2 linked regions of the Tamandua tetradactyla genome follow. The protein of the gene in region 2 interacts with the protein of the main gene of each other region in a pairwise test. Links are inferred from orthologs where the notes say so. Each region holds a gene or a part of one and is shown on either strand. Other genes may lie near its edges.

Evidence for each region.
Region 1: the proteins of LSMEM2 (region 2) and LSMEM1 interact in binary tests that used the Homo sapiens proteins (3 or more experiments, as listed by UniProt). The two-hybrid records come from large-scale screens. The link is inferred for Tamandua tetradactyla from reciprocal best matches to the Homo sapiens genes LSMEM2 and LSMEM1.

The regions. Positions count from the first base shown.
Region 1 is NC_135327.1:151,802,948-151,812,663, forward strand, and holds the start of LSMEM1 (leucine-rich single-pass membrane protein 1), read left to right. Parts: upstream 1-5,685; 5' UTR 5,686-9,716. Other genes in the region: IFRD1 (interferon-related developmental regulator 1), read left to right, coding at 2,226-2,354, 2,776-2,871, 5,252-5,341.
Region 2 is NC_135341.1:35,808,936-35,818,541, forward strand, and holds the start of LSMEM2 (leucine-rich single-pass membrane protein 2), read right to left. Parts: upstream 3,863-9,606; 5' UTR 3,781-3,862; coding exon 3,759-3,780; intron 1,540-3,758; coding exon 1,429-1,539; intron 1,325-1,428; coding exon 1,139-1,324; intron 922-1,138; coding exon 788-921; 3' UTR 1-787. Other genes in the region: SEMA3B (semaphorin-3B), read right to left, coding at 5,314-5,712, 6,126-6,265, 6,343-6,398, 6,508-6,665, 6,910-6,951, 7,030-7,121, 7,370-7,589, 7,905-8,049 and 4 more.

The sequences.
Region 1 (9,716 bases), on a different chromosome or scaffold from region 2:
TATAAGTTTGAAACTGGCATAGAAACCCAAGTGCTAATAACTGAAATAATAAAAATTCAGCATCTTTATGAGTTGACTGATACTTGAATCCTTTCTATAGCCCTATAACTTCCTCCTCAGTTTAGAAACCTTTAGGGGATAAGATACAGGGCTGAAGTGAGCTCAGGATAAAGGCTTTCTCACTCCGGAGAATACTAAACTCCTTTGCAATTACTTTTGGTTTGCTAGGTAAGAAATATTTCTTGACTTAAAAATGTAAATTTCTTTAGTTATTTCTATCTGATATAGCAACATGTCCTAGATTTTCTGGATTAGACCTGATTGCAGATTTTCTCTTTTGATGCATCCTGGATAATAAATGATAAGGGTCAACAGGACCTGACAGACCCCAGTGAGCCCATCAGCTTAGGCCAGCCTCAGCATGTAGCAGTGATTATTCTGAGAAAGACACAAGTGAAATCTCAACTTGCACCAGATTTAAACAGGCCTCTTGTCCAAGTATCGTTCAGGCACTGCTAAAAATGAAAGTCCTCTGATTATTTCATACTCCAGTTCTATAGTGATATACTTTCTCAAGCCTTACCCACCTCCCTCCTCTCTGTCCCAGGATTAAAGTTTTTCTTCCCTTTTACTGTTTCTGCAGCCTCTGCTACAACACACTTGATGAAGAAATACCTATTCTGAGAGCTTTGCTAAGTGTTCTTTTCTCTTTGTTTTTACTGAAACCTAGCTTTCAGGACCCCCCTTCCATGGATCTTTTAAATGAAGGTTGTTTGACACAGAGGAGAATTACACAGTTTATCTTTTGCATGCTGCTGCTGCACCATTTCTCTTAATCCAAAAAAAATCCCCCTTGAAACTCATTCATTCCTCAAATCAGCAAGCTTTGACAAAGTTAGGTGCTTCCACGTACACAATTTTCTTATTTCAGTTCCATGCCAGCTCTTAAGCAATAGCACTGTTTTTTTAAGGAAAAATGGGGACAAAAGAAGTAAAGAATAGCAAGTAGCAAAGCTGGAATTTGAACCCACTGTACTGTGCTTTCTTTCAGCAGGGCTAAATGCTGTAGATGGGTCAAGTAAGACAGAGTCAGAAATATCTATTGGAATTTTCAAGAGGTTGTTGGTGACCTAGCAGTTTCAGTGGCATGATGGGATAAAAGCCAGATGAAGTCGATTAAAGAGTGAATGGGAAGTGAAGAAGTAGTGAATGGTGTGCGTCAACCACTCTTTTTTTAAAAAGCTTATCTGTAATGGGCAGGGGAACATACCTGTTGATAGCTGGAGCATGGTGCTAGATTGTGGGAGATATTAAGAGAGAGCCTGTGGGAGAAGGAACCATAAAAAAAAATATGGTATAGGTATGGATATCACCATTTTACAGGCAATGGAACAGATTAAAGAAATCACATTTCTTGTCAAAGTCACAGGCAGGGTGAGTGGATATCCATGTAATTCTAGAATTTATGTTTTTTCCAATCATTATATACTGTGTCTGCTGGAAGCGAAAGGGACTGAGTAGATGTGGGGTAGGCAGCTAGAATGGTCTTGCCCCTTCACCTTTCTTGAAGGCTCCATCACCTTTCTGTTGTCTCTGTCTAGCAGCTATTCCCTTTCTGCTTGTTCTTCCATATTCATGATTTCATCAAAGAATTGAGCAGCCGGTTTTCTTTTCGTACCCAAGTTCCATGACCTTTCTGGGTGGTTTTACGCATTTGGAAAACCATATCCTCTATTTGTTCTAGAGACTGTTACTTCCATTTCACTTGGACCACTCTCTCATAGTTATACCTTAGGAATTGTTTTCTGGCAGAATTTTCAACTCTGAAATCTTTAACTCTGATGTGACTTCTCTTTTTCTTAATAATCCTACTCCTTGGCCTCTTGGAGATTTCTAGTGGCTGGGACCCTATATGACTCTTGAAGTTTGTCAAGTGCTGTTGAAATTCTTTTTAAAAAGTCACAGCAGTGTGGTTTTGCCATTACTATGTATCCAAACTCAGTTGTGCCTTTAAGTCTGCCACAATCAGACAAATTCTGTACCCTTACGTATAGAATGGCACCTTTAATAAATCTGTACATATCTCAGGTATGGAGGTTTCACTTGAAACCATGTTGTTAATTCATCTTAACATTTATATGTCTATTTAGAAATTGTGTTTACCTAAATTCTTCTCTTTGGGCCGTTTTATTACTTCCTATAATTTTGATTCTTTTGTTGACTAGGAACGAGATTTTCCAACAGAAACTGTTAAATTTGGTCCTGAACGCATGTATATTGATTGCTGGGTAAAAAAACATACCTATGATACTTTTAAGGAGGTTCTTGCATCTGGGATGCAGTATCACTTGCAGGTAAATGAGTGACATACTTTCTATTTTTGCTTTTAAATTAGGAAGCAGTTTTGAATGTCATTTAATTGGCTTTTGAATATCCAGAAAACAGTACCATAAATCTGATTTTGAAAGTAAAACTGAATAAATATGAAAGTGAATTTTTTGTTTTTTTAGTTGTGTAAGTCTGATGGACCACCTTTAATTTAAACCTCTGCTATTGATGTCCTTATGTAAAAGCAAATAGCTTGGCATAGCTTTCTTGGATTCAAGGCATTGAAAGCAATTTGGTCCCATACTGAAAAACAGGAAATAAGTGAGCTTAGCCTAGTCCATATTTGAAGGTTCCACATAACTTCTTTGAGTCAGATTCTCTTTATGTATTGAAAAGTCCTATGATATTTAATACTGAATCTTAGCACCTTTTTCTGTTTTACATAAGTCAAATGAATTCCTTCGCAATGTATTTGAACTTGGACCCCCGGTGATGCTTGATGCTGCAGCTCTTAAAACAATGAAGATTTCTCGTTTTGAAAGGGTAGGTTTTTTTGTTGTTGTTGTTAGTTTTTTTTTTTTATTGGGTTTGTTTTTGACCAAAACTAAAGGCACCAAAGAAAAGTGGTGCCAAAGCTTTGATCCTACCAGGTGACAGGCATTCTGTCCAAATGTGAAATTCTAGTTTTTCATGATATTTGAAACATAGAATGGCTATACTGAAAATGCAGAAGCATTTAGATTGTGGGAGGTTTTCAATGAAAAAAATTTTACCCATGAATTCTATAATCTTAACACAGAAGTTATTTTTCATTTTTTTTTCCTTTTATTCAGTGGAGTTTTGATATTTAAATGTAAGTATTTATATAATATTTCTTTTGTATCAGATGTTGAGCCTACTTCATGTCTTCATTTCTAAAATCACTAAGTGATCAGAGTTTGTAACATTAAATAGTAATTAACATCATATTTTCACTTAATATTCCAAAAACTCATAAAAAAATTTTTGTTTTCTTAAATTGAGGTAATTTTCACATAACAAAATTAACCATTTGAAAGTGTACAGTTCTCGGTGGCTTTTAGTACATTCAGTGTTGTGCAATCATCACCTTTATTTTGTTCAAAAACGTTTTTATTACCTCAGAAGGAAATCCTGTACCCATTCAGCAGCCACGTCCCATTCCCTCCTGCCCCATCCCCTAGTAACCACTAATCTGCTTTCTGCCTCTAAATTTACATATTCTGGATAGTCATATAAATGGAGTTGACAATTAGGTGACTTTTTGTGTCTGGTGTTGTCCACTTAGCATGTTTTTGAGGTTTATCCATGTTGTAGCATGTATTAGTGCTTCATTCTTTTTATGGGTAATATTTCATTGTATGGCCATTCCACATTTTGTTTATCCAGCCATTAAGTTGATGGACATATGTATTGTTCCCACCTTTTGGTGATTGTGAATAGCACTGCTGTGAACATTCGAGTGCAAGTTTTAATTTGAGTTCCTGTTTTCAGTTCTTTGGGTATATATCTAGAGTGGAATTGCTGGATTATATGGTAATTCTGTGTTTAATTTAAACTTTTCCATAGTATCTGCACCATTTTACTTTCCTACCAGCAAGTTAAAGTATTCTCATTTCTCTACATCCTCCCCAACACTTTTTTTCCATAAAAAAAAAATTTCTTATGTCCATCCTGGTGAGTGTGAAATGCTTAATTACATTTTTATATTTGTAATAATTTTATGTCCACACAATTGATATTTAAAAACTCTTTTAAAATATTAACCTTTTTACATATTTGTTTTGTTTGAATTATTTCTTAGAAGAAATCCCCTGCATGGAATATAGGGCTCGATTGTAGTTTTTTGATATGTATTGGAAATTACCTTCCAAAGTTATTCTATAATTTTTAATGTCTCTAGCAATGAATGAAGACACGTGTATTACACACAGACTTGACAGCACTGGATTTTATAATTTTAAATATTTGATAAATAGGTATTAATATGACACCCCATCATTTTTTCCCTTTTTTTTCCTTTTGAAACATTTTGTTAAATTTGGTACATATGGGAAAGCAATTAGAAATATATAGCTCAACTCAAATCCCCTGTTGATTCAAGGAGGCAGCTTTATTTTATTTAAACACCTGGTCTTTATAATACTTTGTTTTAGTTGACAGCAGGCTGACCATTTTAATTCATATTGAGGCCCTTTATTTACGTTTTTCTTAATGTATTTGATTTTTTTCTTAGTATGGCATAGCCATTAATTGTTACATGTTTAAATTCCCACACTCAAATGTTGTTTTTGTGTGTATTTTACAAGCACTTTTTTCCCCACTAAGGCACTTTATATGCATGTATGTGTTACATCACTAGAAAAAAAAACACCCTGGATTTCCACCCACCCCCACCCATGTATTTTCCTCCTGCTTCCTCATGCTCCGTAATGCCAAGTGAGGTTGTCAGTACAATGAAACCGAACTGATGGGATGCAGAGCAGATTATTTGCCATTTTTCTTAATCTTTTGAGTTGTACATCAAATCTGGGATTGATCATTCCATACTTGTGTAACCTGCCTGTGAGGTCCACAATTTTCCCAGCTCTGGAATCAACAATGATTTCAAATTCCCCAGTGTAAACATGCTTCATCATCACAATTAGAAACTGGACAGTGACTTTGGTGCACAGCCTAAAAGGAACCTAGTGTTTGGCTGTTCTTGGCATTGTTAATGCTCTTGATGGCATCAGCCAGGACATTGAGACACACCATTATGGTGGTATGGAAGGATGGCCAGAAAGAGCATTTAAAATTTTTGTAGTGTCAAATTAGTGTTTGTTTCCTTCGTGATTTTTTTTTTCTCATTTTGTAGGAGTATAAGCCTCAGTGACCCACACGTATTTTCCTTTCTTCATTTCAGCATTTATATAACTCTGCAGCCTTTAAAGCTCGAACAAAAGCTCGAAGCAAATGTCGTGATAAGAGGGCAGATGTTGGAGAATTCTTCTAGATTTTCAGCACTTGAAGACTTTCTAATTTCCTTTTGAATTTTTTTTTGTTGTTAATTTCTAATGTATTTAAACTCTTGATAGTTTTTATCTTGGGATGAACATAGATAACTTGTAGTAGGGCTTATATTACTTATAATTTAATGTACAGTATTGCAAATGGTGAGTTCTGATTATTAAGTATTCTTTGTAAATAGAATCGGTAAACATGAATAAAGTGTTTGGTCATATTCTGTTTATGAAGAGAAAAAATCTTTTTTCATTTTATTTCTCATAATGTAAAAAGCTATTATAAAAGGTTAAATTTCTAATACTATAGTTGTCAGAAATATTGATTTATAATGATGTATACATACAAGGTATAAAATTATGATCTTAGACAAATGAGTTCTGGATACACTTTTTGGGAGCATGTTCCTCTGAGAAAGCTGCTGTATTTTAAATTTTAATTGGAACATAGTTATTTTAATTTTGTCACTGGGTTGGACAAAAGGAATTAGACCTTGAGTCCTTGCAGCTGCACTTAAAGGCAATTTCAGTTCACCTATTGGGAGTTCATGATGAATTAGCATATGCCGGAAAGGTTGCTAACCTTAATCTCCAAAAGCCGTTAATTACTAATTTTATCTGCTGTGCAAGACATTGTGCTCTTTACTTTAAAATAAAAGATCTTTTCACACTTAGAGTGTTTAGTTTTTAATAGAAGAAAAATATTATGGGTTTAACATAGAGCATTCAAAATGACCAAGCCAGGTAGGGAGGGGGTGAGACAAAATCTTCATTTGCATATCTGAAAACACATTAAAGTAGCTGAAAAAATGTAGCAATATGTAATTGGTATTCAAGTTACTGACTTAAGTAGCTGAAAAAATGTAGCGATATGTAATTGGTATTCAAGTTACTGACTTAAGGATGCTGCTGCTTGGTTTTCCCATGAGGTGTTTTTTTTTTTTCATTTTAAAGAAAGTTGTAAGCATGTTGACTGATTTAATTACTGATATTACTATTAAATTTGTATAGTACCAACAATATCTACAGTTGAGAATTCATAGACTTGTTTCTTTGATATTCTTACTGCAGAAAACAGTGATAGAGGGATGGAGTGAGGGGTAGAGAAGTAGGTACCTTTTAGAAAGAAGTAGCTAGGTATTTTCCAAACTAATGTTCTTCTCCCACGTCCCTAACTCCTGGAAGGTCTGATGTGTTCCCTGCGTGAAAATCTTTGGCTGGCTTATAGTCACTTGCTGATAGGAGGGTGAGTTTCATGTTTCGGTATAGTAGAATGGAAAACAGATTTGGAATTTCTGACTTAGGTTTGTGTGTTACCACCTCCTTATATTCCAAATAGGTTAGAACCATGGGAAGGAAATTGTGAAGTGTTTTTCTAAGTTTTAAAATACATATATGTATACATATTTTTGATAAAAATGAATTTTTGTTAATGAGATATACATGGTTCAATAGTACTTCAAGGCTTATAATGAAAAAAGTTAGCTTCCTGCCCATTTTTCTACTCACTCATTTCCATCCCAGGGGACATGTAGACTTCAAGTTTTTCTAGCATCTTGGTTTCAGGTTTCTAAATAACACGCTTATAGCTCTGTATTCTAGTTTGCAAGCTGCAGGAATGCAATATACCAGAAACAGAATGGCTTTTAAAAAGGGGAATTCAATAAGTTGCTTGTTTACAGTTCTAAGGCTGAGAAAATGTCCCAATTGAAACAAATCTATAGAAATGTCCAATCTAAGGTGTCCAGAGACAGATAACCTTGGTTCAAGAAGGCCGATGAAGTTCACAGTTTCTTTCTCAAGTGGAAGCACACATGGCAAACACAGAGTCTCTCTCATATGGAAAGGCACATGGTGAACATGGTCAGGGTTCCCCTTTCATCTGGAAGGGCACATGGCGAACACCCCGTCATCTGCTAGCTTCTCCTGGCTTCCTGTTTCATGAAGCTCCCCTGGAGGCATTTTCTTTCTTCCTCTCAAAAGGTCGCTGGCTGGTGAACTCTGCTTCTCGTGGCTATGTCTTTCTGCTCTGCTCTGAATCTCATTCTCCAGAATGTTTCCTCTTTTATAGGACTTCAAAAACTAATCAAGACGCACCCAAATGGCTGGAGACATGTCTTTTACCTAATCCAGTTTAACAACCACTCTTGATTAAATCACATCTCCAGGGGGGTGATCTAATTACAGTTTCAAACATACAGTACTGAATAGGAATTAGAAGAAACAGCCGCCTTTACAAAATGAGATTAGAATTAAAACATGGCTTTTCCAGGGTACATACATCATTTCAAACCAGCACACTGTATTTCTTAGTTTTTTTTACTTTTAGACATTTGTCAACTCCCTATGAAAATGGGGGTGAATTTGTCTTTTTAACCTTTCCCATCCTCAAAAAATTTTTATTTTCTGGTTAAATCAGCAGCTTTCTTTATATTACAACCATATTTATATGTTCACTCTTGAACTCGAGTGTTTACATTTCCATTCCTGTAAAACTACTTCTGGAGTTAACAATTGTCATCTTATTTCTTGGATTTATATGCACATCACTAATTCTTCTCTTTCTTGGATTTATACACACTTATCACTAGTTCAATCCAAACAGTCCCAAATAGATTTGTGAAACTTCTGATTCTGTTTTCCATGTTGTCAAACCCTTATAATATGTTTCCTTCTTCAGTCCAATTTCTCATCCTAGTGTACTTTTGTTTTCCTGAGATCTCACTTTATCCTGGGGGTTTGTTTTCCTCCCTTCATTTTTCCTTTCCCTTAGTTTGGATCCCACATTTCCTGGATCTTTGGTCTTCTCTGTTGATATGGAGCACTTATTTCATTAGCATTCTGGGAATTGATGCATGAGAGGGACAATTATTTATTTATTTTTTAATTAGAGAAGTGGGTTTACAAAACAATCGTGCATGAAATACAAGCTCCCTGTACACCACCCCAGCACCAACACCGTGCATTGGTGTGGATTATTTGCCACAACTGATACTACATTTTAACAACTGTACTATTAGATATTTTTAAACTTAATTTTTCTGAGTAACAGTTTGCCGGGTATAAAATTCTAGGTAAAAAAATCAAGTTTGGAATTTTGAAGACCTTGTTTCATTGTTTTCTAAAGAACAATAAAACAATAAATAAATAAAAACAAGAAATAAAAAACAGTAAAGTGATACTGAGATGCCTGATGAAATTTTTATTTCTAAATTCTAGTGATTTTTTTTCCTTTCTTGAAGTTCTTAGAGTCTATGTTCTAAAATTGCATGAAATGTGCTTTGGTGAGCTTTTTAATTCCTCCTCCATGCCCCCCGTCTCCAAGTTTTCTTTCTTTTGGAACTCCATGAAATTCATTCTTGTGGTTTTTGTAATTTTTAATACTAATCTGCCTTTTGGGAGGCAGAGGAGATAAGTGTTTTAATTGGCAACTCTGCTTAGTAAATAGAAATGGGGCCTTTTATTCACAAAGCTAAAGAAGATCGCTAGACAAAGATTATTGGGGATTCAGTGTTTAAGAATGCTTGAGGAAAAGAAAATGCATGAATTTTCTTGAAAGTAAGATTGGTGTGTGATAGATCAATTGTTTGCTTGATTTTTGGTTAATCTTGCTGGTTTGAAGGAATTTAAATGGTCCCTGCCTCATAAGCTTTTCATTTTGAGGCTCAAGATCAATTTTGAAGCAGTATTTGTGACTCGTCTTTGATGGCATTTACTGAATTTCCTGGGAGTTGAATCTAGATATGGCAAAATAGAATGTAAGAAATATTTGGAAATGTCCCCAGATTGAACATATGAGAATATTTTTGTCTGTGACCCAAGCTCTATCAAGTGCATAATAGCTAAAATGAGGTAGATTATCTTGCTTTGATCTTAAGTAGTTCTCCAGATGTCTAGTCACAAACTGTAAGTTTCTTGCCCCTCATGGGGTAAAAGTATGGTTGAATTCAGCTCTGCCACTTGCTACCTGTGTTTCTTCAGACAAATTCCTTAGTTCCCATTTTCCTCATCCCTAAAGAGGGGGTTAATACTTCAAAGATGTAAGATTACAACAGAGAAAAAACATGGGAAATGCTCAAAATGACGCTAATACTGCTTCAAAGGACAGATATTTTAAGACAGACCAGGTAGTTGAAAGATTCTTTTAACTGGCCATGATCATTAAAATAATAGCTAATACAAAAAAATTATAGTTAACATGAACATTTTCACTCTTCCGAGAAATTTGGCATAGTTCTTTTTGAGAAAACATTTGCTAGTTCATTGTCTTCTTCCTTGAATTTGTCCTTTTCCCCAAAAGGAGTGTAAGATCCATACTGAATATAAGTGTAAAGGACATTTTGTGAAGCAAACATTTTTTAACTGAAG
Region 2 (9,606 bases):
CTTTACCCCTGCACACAGCCCTGTGGCCTCTTCCTGCCCTGTCTTAGGCCGAGCCAGCTGTGTGTCTGCCCTAAGGCTGTGGGACAGGCAGGGGCATGCGGTGAGGGTGATGGGGCTGTCCTTTCCTTTCTCTTCCTGCCCTTGCTCCCCTAGGGTGACCCATTTCTTTGGGGGAGGGGCCAGTAGAGCCTCTGGGCAGCAGATGGGGAGGTAAGGACCTGGAATGGATATATGTGCTGATTGTTATAAGATTATTAGAGATAATTAAACAGAATGCTCAGCCTTATGTGGTCCTGGCTCCTGGATATTTCTCCCTGCCTCCCCCTCTCCCAATTCATCACTCTAGACTTGGGCCCAGCTAGGTCTCCTCCATCTCATCTTTGCCCTCTAAGGGTGAACTCCTCCTACTCAGAACCCAACCTGTCTTTGGGAGCTGAGGCTAGACTCCCACTGGGAGACCTGGCCAAGGTTAGGTAATCGAGTGGGAGACAGCTATTTCTGGACTTCTGATCTGTTATTTAAGGGTGTTCGGGGGTGCTGACTGGGCCATGAGCTGGTGCCCCCTCCTCTGACCTTGGAAACCCAAAGCCGGGTCTTAGCATCAGGCTTGGCTAGGTCTAGCTGGAAGAGGTCAGGAGAGGGAGGTAGCTGTGGGGTCAGATTGGATTCTTTATAAAAATCTCTCCAAGGAAGTAGTTTAGCCATAGTAGCAGCCGGGGAAGAGAGGCCTGCCAATGACCTCTTTATTCCACCCTCATATACCCAGGCCCCAGGTCCTGGCAGCACTTCAACTGGGCATTTGGGCCTGGCTGGAGTTGAGCCTCCGCAGCTGGCTGAGGCTGGCGAGCCGAAGTTTGAGTAGCGTCTCCTCCTGAGTGCTCAGTGTGTGCGCCAGCATGCGCAGGGATTCACTCTGCAGCACTGCAGATGAGCGGCAGGGGTTGGGGGTGGTTGTCAGGCCATGTGCTACCCAGTGACCCCTCCCTACTCGACCCAGCCCAGCACCAGGGGCTGCCTAGGAATCCCCCCCCCCCCCACTGCCGCTGCCTGAGCAGCTGTACCCTCCAACTGCACATAAAGGCCTGCAGGTCCCACTTCCTTCCCCTTGGTGCCCACTGGTGCCACACGCCTTCCATACCGCTCAGGTAGACGGCCAGGACGGCGAGCGCCAGGCAGGTGAGCACCAGCAGCATGAGCAGCAGCAGGAACCCCCGGCGGCCGTGCACAGGGCTGCAGCCCGCCTGGGTGCACAGGGATGGGGGCAAGACCCCCAGCAGCTCGTCCCATGGCCGCGCCTCCTCGGCCAGGAAGGGATGCAGTGAGCCTGCAGGGCAGATGGGACATGGGGGGTTGGCAGTGGGTGTGCCTGCTTTCCTCCCCTCCCCCAATGCATCTTCCCCCCCCGCCCCCCGCACCTGCCGCCCTCACCTCCGCTGTGTAGGTCGCTGATGGACTCTACCCGGTGCAGGCACACCTCCTGCAGGTGGTTGGGGGCCAGTGTCGCCCTGCTCCTGGGGCTCAGTGTCGGCACCATGATGTCTGCAGGGGCAGCAGGGGGCAGACTCAGCCACAATTCACCCCTTTCCTCCTCCCCAGGGGACCTCGGGCATGATGGAGACAGTGGGGCGTTTGGCTATGAATTGCCTAAGATGGACTCAGGGGTGACCCTTAGTTGAGTGCCTGGGTGACCCCAAACTTCCATTGGCAAGAGGCCCGTTTACATTCCTCATATTTGTTTCCCTTTGGACGCCTCAAGGATTTTCTCATGTTCCTTTGCTTGCTCATTTCTACTGCATAGTTTATCAACCTTGCAGGACTTCAACCACAGTGCATGGAATTTAGTCCTGCTTCTTCTATTGTTTTTTTCCTGCAGGCCCTGTAGGTTAGCTGTCAGGCCAGACCCAGTGCCTGGCACCTCCTCTGCCCCATGCAAAGGCAGCCCCCCTCAAGCCTCTGTGATGCCTTTCCCTCCTGGCCTAGTTCTGCATTCTTTAACCTACTCAGTGCAGGATTGTGCTGTACTTAGGTGAACCCCTCTGTTCACTCACCATCCTGGCAGGAGAGCACTCTTTGTTATCAGACTCACATGCCCTGAGCTCTCTCTTCAGACATCGCTTTGAGGCTGCCTGGACTTTAAGGTTGTTTCCAATTCCTTTTGGATGTCCCAGAACAACATCCATCATTGAGCATGAAGGTTTTCCCCCAATTTCTCAATAGTTAGTAAGGATAAATTCCCAGAAGTAGAATTACTGGATCGAAGGGCAATGGCTGGCTGTGCTCCAGAATGACTGGCCGGAACCCTCAACAGGGTAGAGATAGCATCGTCAGCATTAGGCATCCCCGTTGAAAGAAATGTTTGCATACACAAGCACATGTTTGTGACTTCGAGAAAAGAGAAAAGGCCTTTCTTAGTATTTGAGTTTCTTTGTCCAGGGGGCCTGGTCATTATTATGTTTGTGGCTTCCTGATCAGGAATTATCTATTCAAAGCCTCTATGAATTTAGTCAACTGAGGTCTGTGTATTTTTCTTATAACTTGAATTATTTTTGGATCCATAGAAGTGTTTATTTTGTGATTTCTAAGTATTTCATTCTGTTTTTTTTTTATTATTGCTCTTTTTGGATTTTTTTTTTTTTAAGCTTTTTAATCTTAGGCCTTTGAGACCTCCAGATGTCCAGCTAAAAGCTAGGTAGTGTAAGGAGAGGGCAGGCAGTGGTTCATTGGGAAAATAACCACTCTGGGAATAGGGGTACCTGGCGCACTCCAGAGCTTACTCTCAGAACAGTAGCTCAACATTTGATTAGTTTGAAAACTGCCCATTGAAATGCCCAAAAGCAAGTTAACAGAAACAGACTGTGCCAGTCATTATGTCTGAGAGGTGGGTTGGGGGTCATGTTAAATTCTCTTTTCACGTTGCTTTTCTCACACTTTCTAAAAGAAACATGGATTCTGTTTGTTACCAGGAGGAACACATGGTAAATGCTATTGTTATGACCCCAAAATGAGGCAGACATTACCCTCTCACCAGGGGCCAGGCACCTCCTATCCTTTTGAAAATGGATGAAAATCTATGCAGGGGTGGGAAGGGGGTAGTTGACCAGCTGGATCAAACTGAGCCATAAGCTAGAGCCATGATGCATCTGGTCCTGCATCCTGGCTGGCACCTCACCTGAAGGAAGCTGCACACGTGTGTCCTTAGTGCTCAGCCTCTCTAAGCCTCCATTCCTCTTGCATGCAGTGGGACAGCTAGGTGAGTGACCACTAAGGACTTAACTAGCTGAGTCAATCCGGCCAGCCAAGGGACCCTGACTGTCAGTGAGTTGAGGACACTGAGATCCAAGTTGGGGGAAGACAGAGGCCTGTCTATGCCTAGCCCCCCAGCCAGGTACCCATGTGCTTCCTGCAAACACTGCCTACCTTCAGCCCCAGCTTTCTCCCTGAAGGAAGAGCTGAACTGCCTGGATGCCTAAACCCGCTTGGACATAGCCCATAGCTGACCTGCCCCCAACTGGGCAGTCCCCCTAATCCTTCCCTGCTGTTCCCACCAAGGGAAGCTGAGGCAGGGCCTATGATGAGGAGGGGTTCCAGGCATGGTGTGCCCCCCCTCTATCACAGAGACAGGTCCCTTTACTCAAGCTGGGACATGGACACTATGACCTGCCAAGGAAGTGAAGTCAGTAGGGCAGGGGTGGGTTTCTCCACGGTTCACAGAGTCACAGGACAGAGTCCTTGCCCTCCCCTCGTGGACACCCTCCTACCTTCTTGCGCCTCCTCAGGCATGGTACGCAGTTGGAGCCGGTGACTGTGTCCAGTAGCAGGACTGGATGGAGACAGCAGTGGCTCCTGAGAGCCTAGGGAAGGCCTGGCCTCCTCCCAGTAGGGGCTTAAAATAGGCCTGAGCTCAGCCCACCAGGCTATATTTAGACAGGGCAGCTCTCAGTCCTGGGAAGTGGCAGAGTGACTGACATGGGCCAGCCTAGACTATCCTCCCAGTGAAGGAGCCCAGGCCAGGCACGCCTCCACTAGTGCATGTACCCAGGTCCTTTTCAGAAATGTACACCATCCTATACATGCACGGGCTCCAGAGACTGCATCCAAACTGGCTGCCTCTAGGGCTCAGCCTCCAGCAATGCCCCCACACAACAGCCAAGACATGCAAGGGAACTCTGTGCATCTCCACCCTGCAAACCTCCACCCACAGCACACTGGTACTCCCCCAGCAAACATGCAACAAACAACCTCCACCATGTCCCTATAGTAGAGCAGGGGCTGAAGGCAGCTGGTCTCTGAGGAACCACAAGGGGGCAGAGATTCCCCACATATACGGATATCCATGCTGCGCAGTCCGCATATCTAGATTGAAAGCTGGAACTGCTATTAGTTTATAAACTTGAGTAAAGGAGCCACCCTTTCTAGCCTTTGTGTATCTCTCCTTCCTAACTAGTAGAAACCCATAGGCTCTACTTCCTAAAGCATGTAAAATCTATCACTCCACTGTGTCACACAGCAGCTTTAACAATGGCAAGTTCATTTCTACCGCACAACCTTTGCACTAGCTGTTCCTTTCTTCTGGAATGCTCTGCCCCAAATATCCCCTTGGCTGGGTCCTTGTCATTAAGCTCAAATGTCACCCTTCAGTGAGGTCTTCTGTTCACACTCTTCCACAATACTCAGTTTTATTTTCTTCATAGCACTTAGCCATGAAATTATGTTATTCAGCATATACTGTATCCCCAAAGGCCCTGCAGAACCTGCTTGGTCACATGGAAACACCTTTAATTCTCACCAGGCATCCTTGGACAGAAGGAAAAGCTGAGATTGGTGGGAAGATGACCAAGGCCACATAGTAAGTACTAGGACGAGAGGCTGCCCACTGGGGCCAGTGTAGCTTTGGCTGATAATATGTTTATTGCATTGTTTTAGTACAGTCGGCCTGTCCCACCCCTGTCCCCAGCAGCCTGGCCTATTCACAGCTTCCTGCTGGCTGCTCAAGAAGGGGTCTCCCAGGGTGGGCACAACAGACACCTCCCCAGCCCTTGTGGCTGGTTCTAACCAGCCCCGCTTGTCTACCCCCTCCTGACTTGCCAGACTCAGCACCCAGCCTGGGCCACGCCTCCGGGGCTACATTCAAGGGTTTTTTATCATCTGTTAATAAATAAGCCTGTGCAGCTGCCCCTCGGCCAGAGCCTGTCGGTGTTGCAGTCGGCTGGAATCCACAGTGACCCCAGCCCAGATCTGTCCTTCTCCGCGTCCCAGGGCCTATCCTTCCCCTCTCCCGCCCTGCAAGTCCTCGGCATGGAAATGCCCATGTCATCAATGGGCCGCGCTGCGTGGCCCCCGTTCCGCGCGCTGCTCGGGGCTGTGAGTCCTCCGGTTGCGGCCTTTCCTCCTCGATTCCGGGGATGGCAGACGCTGCGCGGGCGGTGAGCGACACATGCGCAAGGAGCTCGGGCCGCCGCCACCGGGCTCCACCAGCTGCAGGAAGTCTCGGTACCAGAGCTTGGGGCCCGGCAGCGCAGCGGGCACAGCCTCCTCGGGCCGTGCTAACTGCTCGGCCTGCGCGGAGCTCAGCACGTGCAGTGACAGGCGACGCAGAGGCTGCGAGAAGCCCTGCTCTACCGCCGCGCAGAGGTACAGTCCTGAGTCCCCGCGCCGCAGCCTGCGCAGTAGCAGCCCCTGCGCCGTACGCTCGGCGCGATCCTCGGCGGGTACCTGCGGGTGGGGCGGATGTGAGGCTGGGGCGTCGGTGCCCGGAAGAGGGATCCCCATCGGAGAGAGGAACAGAGAGGCATAGGGACATCAGGGGCCGAGCGGGAGAGGGCAAAGCGTGCCCGCAGGTGCACACTTGAAGGCTGATGGGCACGGTTCACCTGAACGTAGGGGGCTACGTCAAAGACCTCAGTGGACGGGTCTACCAGGAGCCTAGTTGGAAGGAACGGGTCCTCACCCGGATGTGAGGGGCAGGTAAGGGACCAAATTGGACGCGACGCGTATGGGGCCTAGACGGGTGGAACTTCGCCTACATGGGGAAGGCAAATCAAGGGCCTCATTAGGCCTGGAAGGGCCTCTCGTAGATGTGGGTGACGGAACAGGGAGCCGGTTGGGAGGGGTGGAGTGAGGCTCACCTGGGTGTGGACCGCCTTCCCCACACTCTGGAAAGTCCATTCCACGCGCGCCTGCAGCGAACGGGGCTCACACTCCAGGAAGGCGCTGCCGCCCTCCACGCCAAACACTTTCCGTTCCAGCAGTGCCGGGCGGGACAGGTCTGGGGCAAGGGAAGGGTCCGATTCAGGCCCCGCAAGGCCGAGAGGGTCTGAAGGATAAGGGCCCCGGGACACTCACCCCCGGAACACAGCGTGCTGGGGTCGCCGTTCCTTATGTCTTGCCGCCGGAACCTCCTGAGGGGAAAGTGGAAGGCAGTGAGTCCTTCTTCCATTCCTGGCCACGAAAGACCCTCCAGCTCCTGCCCGGAGGTCCGCCCCCATCCCCGTCCCCGTCCCCGCCCACCTCTTGGCACTGGGCTGGAAGCGCGTGCAAGTGGCCCCATCCCAGGCGCAGTAGGGGTCACGCGCCAGGCAGCATTCGGCGCAGGCGCGGCCGTGGGCGGCGCAGCGGTGGAGCGCGATCTGGGCCACCGCGCTCCGCGAGGCTACGTACAGCTGGTGCTGGGGGCGGCACAAGGGGCTCCGCGCTGACCGAGGGCGGCCCTGCACCCGCCTCCCACCAGTCAGAGATCCTCCCCGCTCTTAACGGTTGGGAGCACTGAGGTCTCACTTAGGTTACGCAGTGTAGGGAAGGCAGAGCCTACTCTAGAGTCTGGGGCTGCGGACTACCAAGGGAGGCTTGAGAGGTGGGGGCTCCCCGGGCACAAGCTCAGTCCATCCCACACACATCCTTGTGGTCACTCACCCTCTTGGAAGAGATCTGCATGCTGGTGACAGCGGCAGCATCCTAAGAGGGAGAAGGGGTGGGGGGGATCAGGCCTCAGTGGGTTGGGGGGGCCTAGGAGGACTTAGAGCAAGACCTCACCTCAAACACATGCAGCTCCTCCAGGAGCAGGCCCTCTGCGCTCGGCCTGCCACCTTTGGGGACCGAGATCACTTTCAGCACTGTGCCTGCATCTGGAGGGATGAGAAGGGGTGAGTGCTCCCTGGTGTTCCCTGCTAGCCAGGGCAGGGGCTTCAGAGGCCTGGCCCTTAGTACGGCTGGATCTGTGGAGGGCGTGAGCTGGAGCAACCAAGGCAGCAGCCAGGAGGAGAAGGAAACACAGCCCAAAGGTTATGGAGGTGGAACTGAACAGGAAGAGCTTCTACTGCCAGGCCAAGGAGCCTGAATGAGAGCCTATGGGTGGGCGTGGCAGGGCCCGCACCTGTGCCAATGAAGAGGACGTCATAATGTCCATCGGCAGCGGCCACACGGTCAGCGGCAATCTGGGTGAAGGTGTATCCAGCACCCACTTGCAGGAAGAGAGGGCGCCCTGCCATGGGCAGGACTGAGTTGTACATGAGAGGGTGGGTCCGGGCAAACTGGATGACATCATCTGGGAAGTCCTTGGTAGAACTGAAGGTGCCAAAGGTCTTGCTGGGACACTGGACAGGGGGACACAGCAGGGGTGTGGGTATGGGGGCCTGGTGGGCAGCCCCTCATGAAGGTCTACAGGGGACTTGGGAGGGGGGGTGGGGGAAGAGAGAGACCTGCCCTGGGCATGTGAGAGAGGATATCCAGCCCTGCCCTGGGGTGCTGAGGGGAAAAGCATGGCCCACCCCTGAGGAGCTCTGGTGACATTGACCTTTTCCGACCCTTATCAAAAAGAGGCAAACACATTCACCAAGAAGACCCTGGGCTGAATTCTCCAGCCCTGAGGCTTTGGAGTCGGTTGTGGCAGGAGTCCCTGGCCCACGCACCATGCCAGGTCGGGGATAGGGGACGCGGCCCTGGTAGGACACCCACTGGTGCATGGGACCTTCCTTGTGGGCAAAGGGTCCCAGGAAAGCCCGGCGCACGTCGTTCATGCTGTACACACACACGGCTGAGCCCTGGAAGACTCCGCTGCAGGCAAAGACCAGGGCAGGGACAGGGGGCGTGGGTTTGAACCTAGCCCAGCCCATCTGGCCCCTGGTGCCCTCTAGCACCCCACCCCAGAGCCCCTCACTACCCAGACCTGGACGTGGTGAAAACAGCATAAAGCAGAGGGCTTCGGCGGTCCCGCGAGGGCAGAAGGAACACATCTTCTGCAAGGAATGGGCTTGGTTGAGGGAGGGCGCACAGCTGGGCTGGGCAGGCCCTACTCAGGGGGTCTGCACCCCCGCCCTCCACTCCCCACTCATTCCCCACTCCGGGCACTCACGGAGCTGATCGAAATGGGTGTCGCCCTCAGCACCAGGTATCGAGCACACCAGACGCGCCTTCAGAAACGTTGTCCACTTGTTGACCAGGCTGCGCTGGCCACCCACATCATTCTGTGGGGTTGAGCAGAGGGGATAAGCGCGGGCCGGGTGGGAAAGCGGGTGGGGCTGGGTGGTACAGCACGGTCCGGCGACTCCTCACCCGGCAGATCTGACCGACGCGGGACACAGAGAGGCGTCCTAGTGCCGGCGCCGCCTCCACCGCAGACTCACGGAAGAAGAAGTAGATCTTGTCATCGTCCGGGTTCTCGCTCTCTGGGATCCAAAAGACCTTGACGAACTTGGGCTCTGGCAGCAGTAAGAGGCACAGGGTCAGGGAGTTCTGGCCCCTCTCCACCTCCGTTATGGGACCCGCCTGCTGCCCATCCACCCCCAGGTGCCGGCGGGAGTCCTGGGAGCAGCATCTTCGGGGCAGCCCGGGAACCCACCCAATCCAAAGGGGCAGGGCCTGCAATGTACGCGATAGCCACGAGGGGGAAGCAGAGACCGTGGCTCCCTGTGCAAGCGGAAGGGGACCCCAGGAGGCCAAAGATTTAACCCTTTTCTGTTCCCCAGGTCTAAGGGCCAGGAAAAGAGGGAGGTGGAGAGTCCAGTTTCTACTTCAGTCATGAATCCCCCTCACCAGGAAGTCCACTCTGCTTCAAAGCTTCCCTTTCCATCCCATTGTTCCTAGAATAAACTACCCTGGCCCCTCACAGTCCTGGTCCTTTACCCCTGCTCCTTCCAAGAGTCTGTCCCTGCCTCGGGGCCTTTGCACTAACCATTTCCTCTGCCTGGAATGTTCTTCCCTCAGTTCTCCTGTATGGCTCTCTTGTGCTTTGGGAGTTAGTTCACACTCCCCCTTAGCACACTCCTCCAACTTCTTTCCCCTCCTCTCTGTTCTCTCCTTGGCCCCATGGCCACTGGAACTGATCTTATGTGTTTGTTATGAAGTCTCTGTGCTCACCAGGGCACAGATCACACCTGTCTTGTCTGCCTGGGTCCCCTGGCTTGGGGCCTGGTGCCTGGTAGGTATTCAGTGAGAAATGGCTGCATCCATTGCTCACTCGCTCCCTGGGCCTTGCTCAGCACCACCCTGTGCAGGTGTGAGGGCCGCTGCTCACTGCCCGTCCCAACAGCCTCTCACCATTGAGCCAGCGGGAGTCGTGTGGCTCTGTGCGGAGGCTCGGCCTGCGGCCCAGGCTGCGGAAGATGGTAAAGT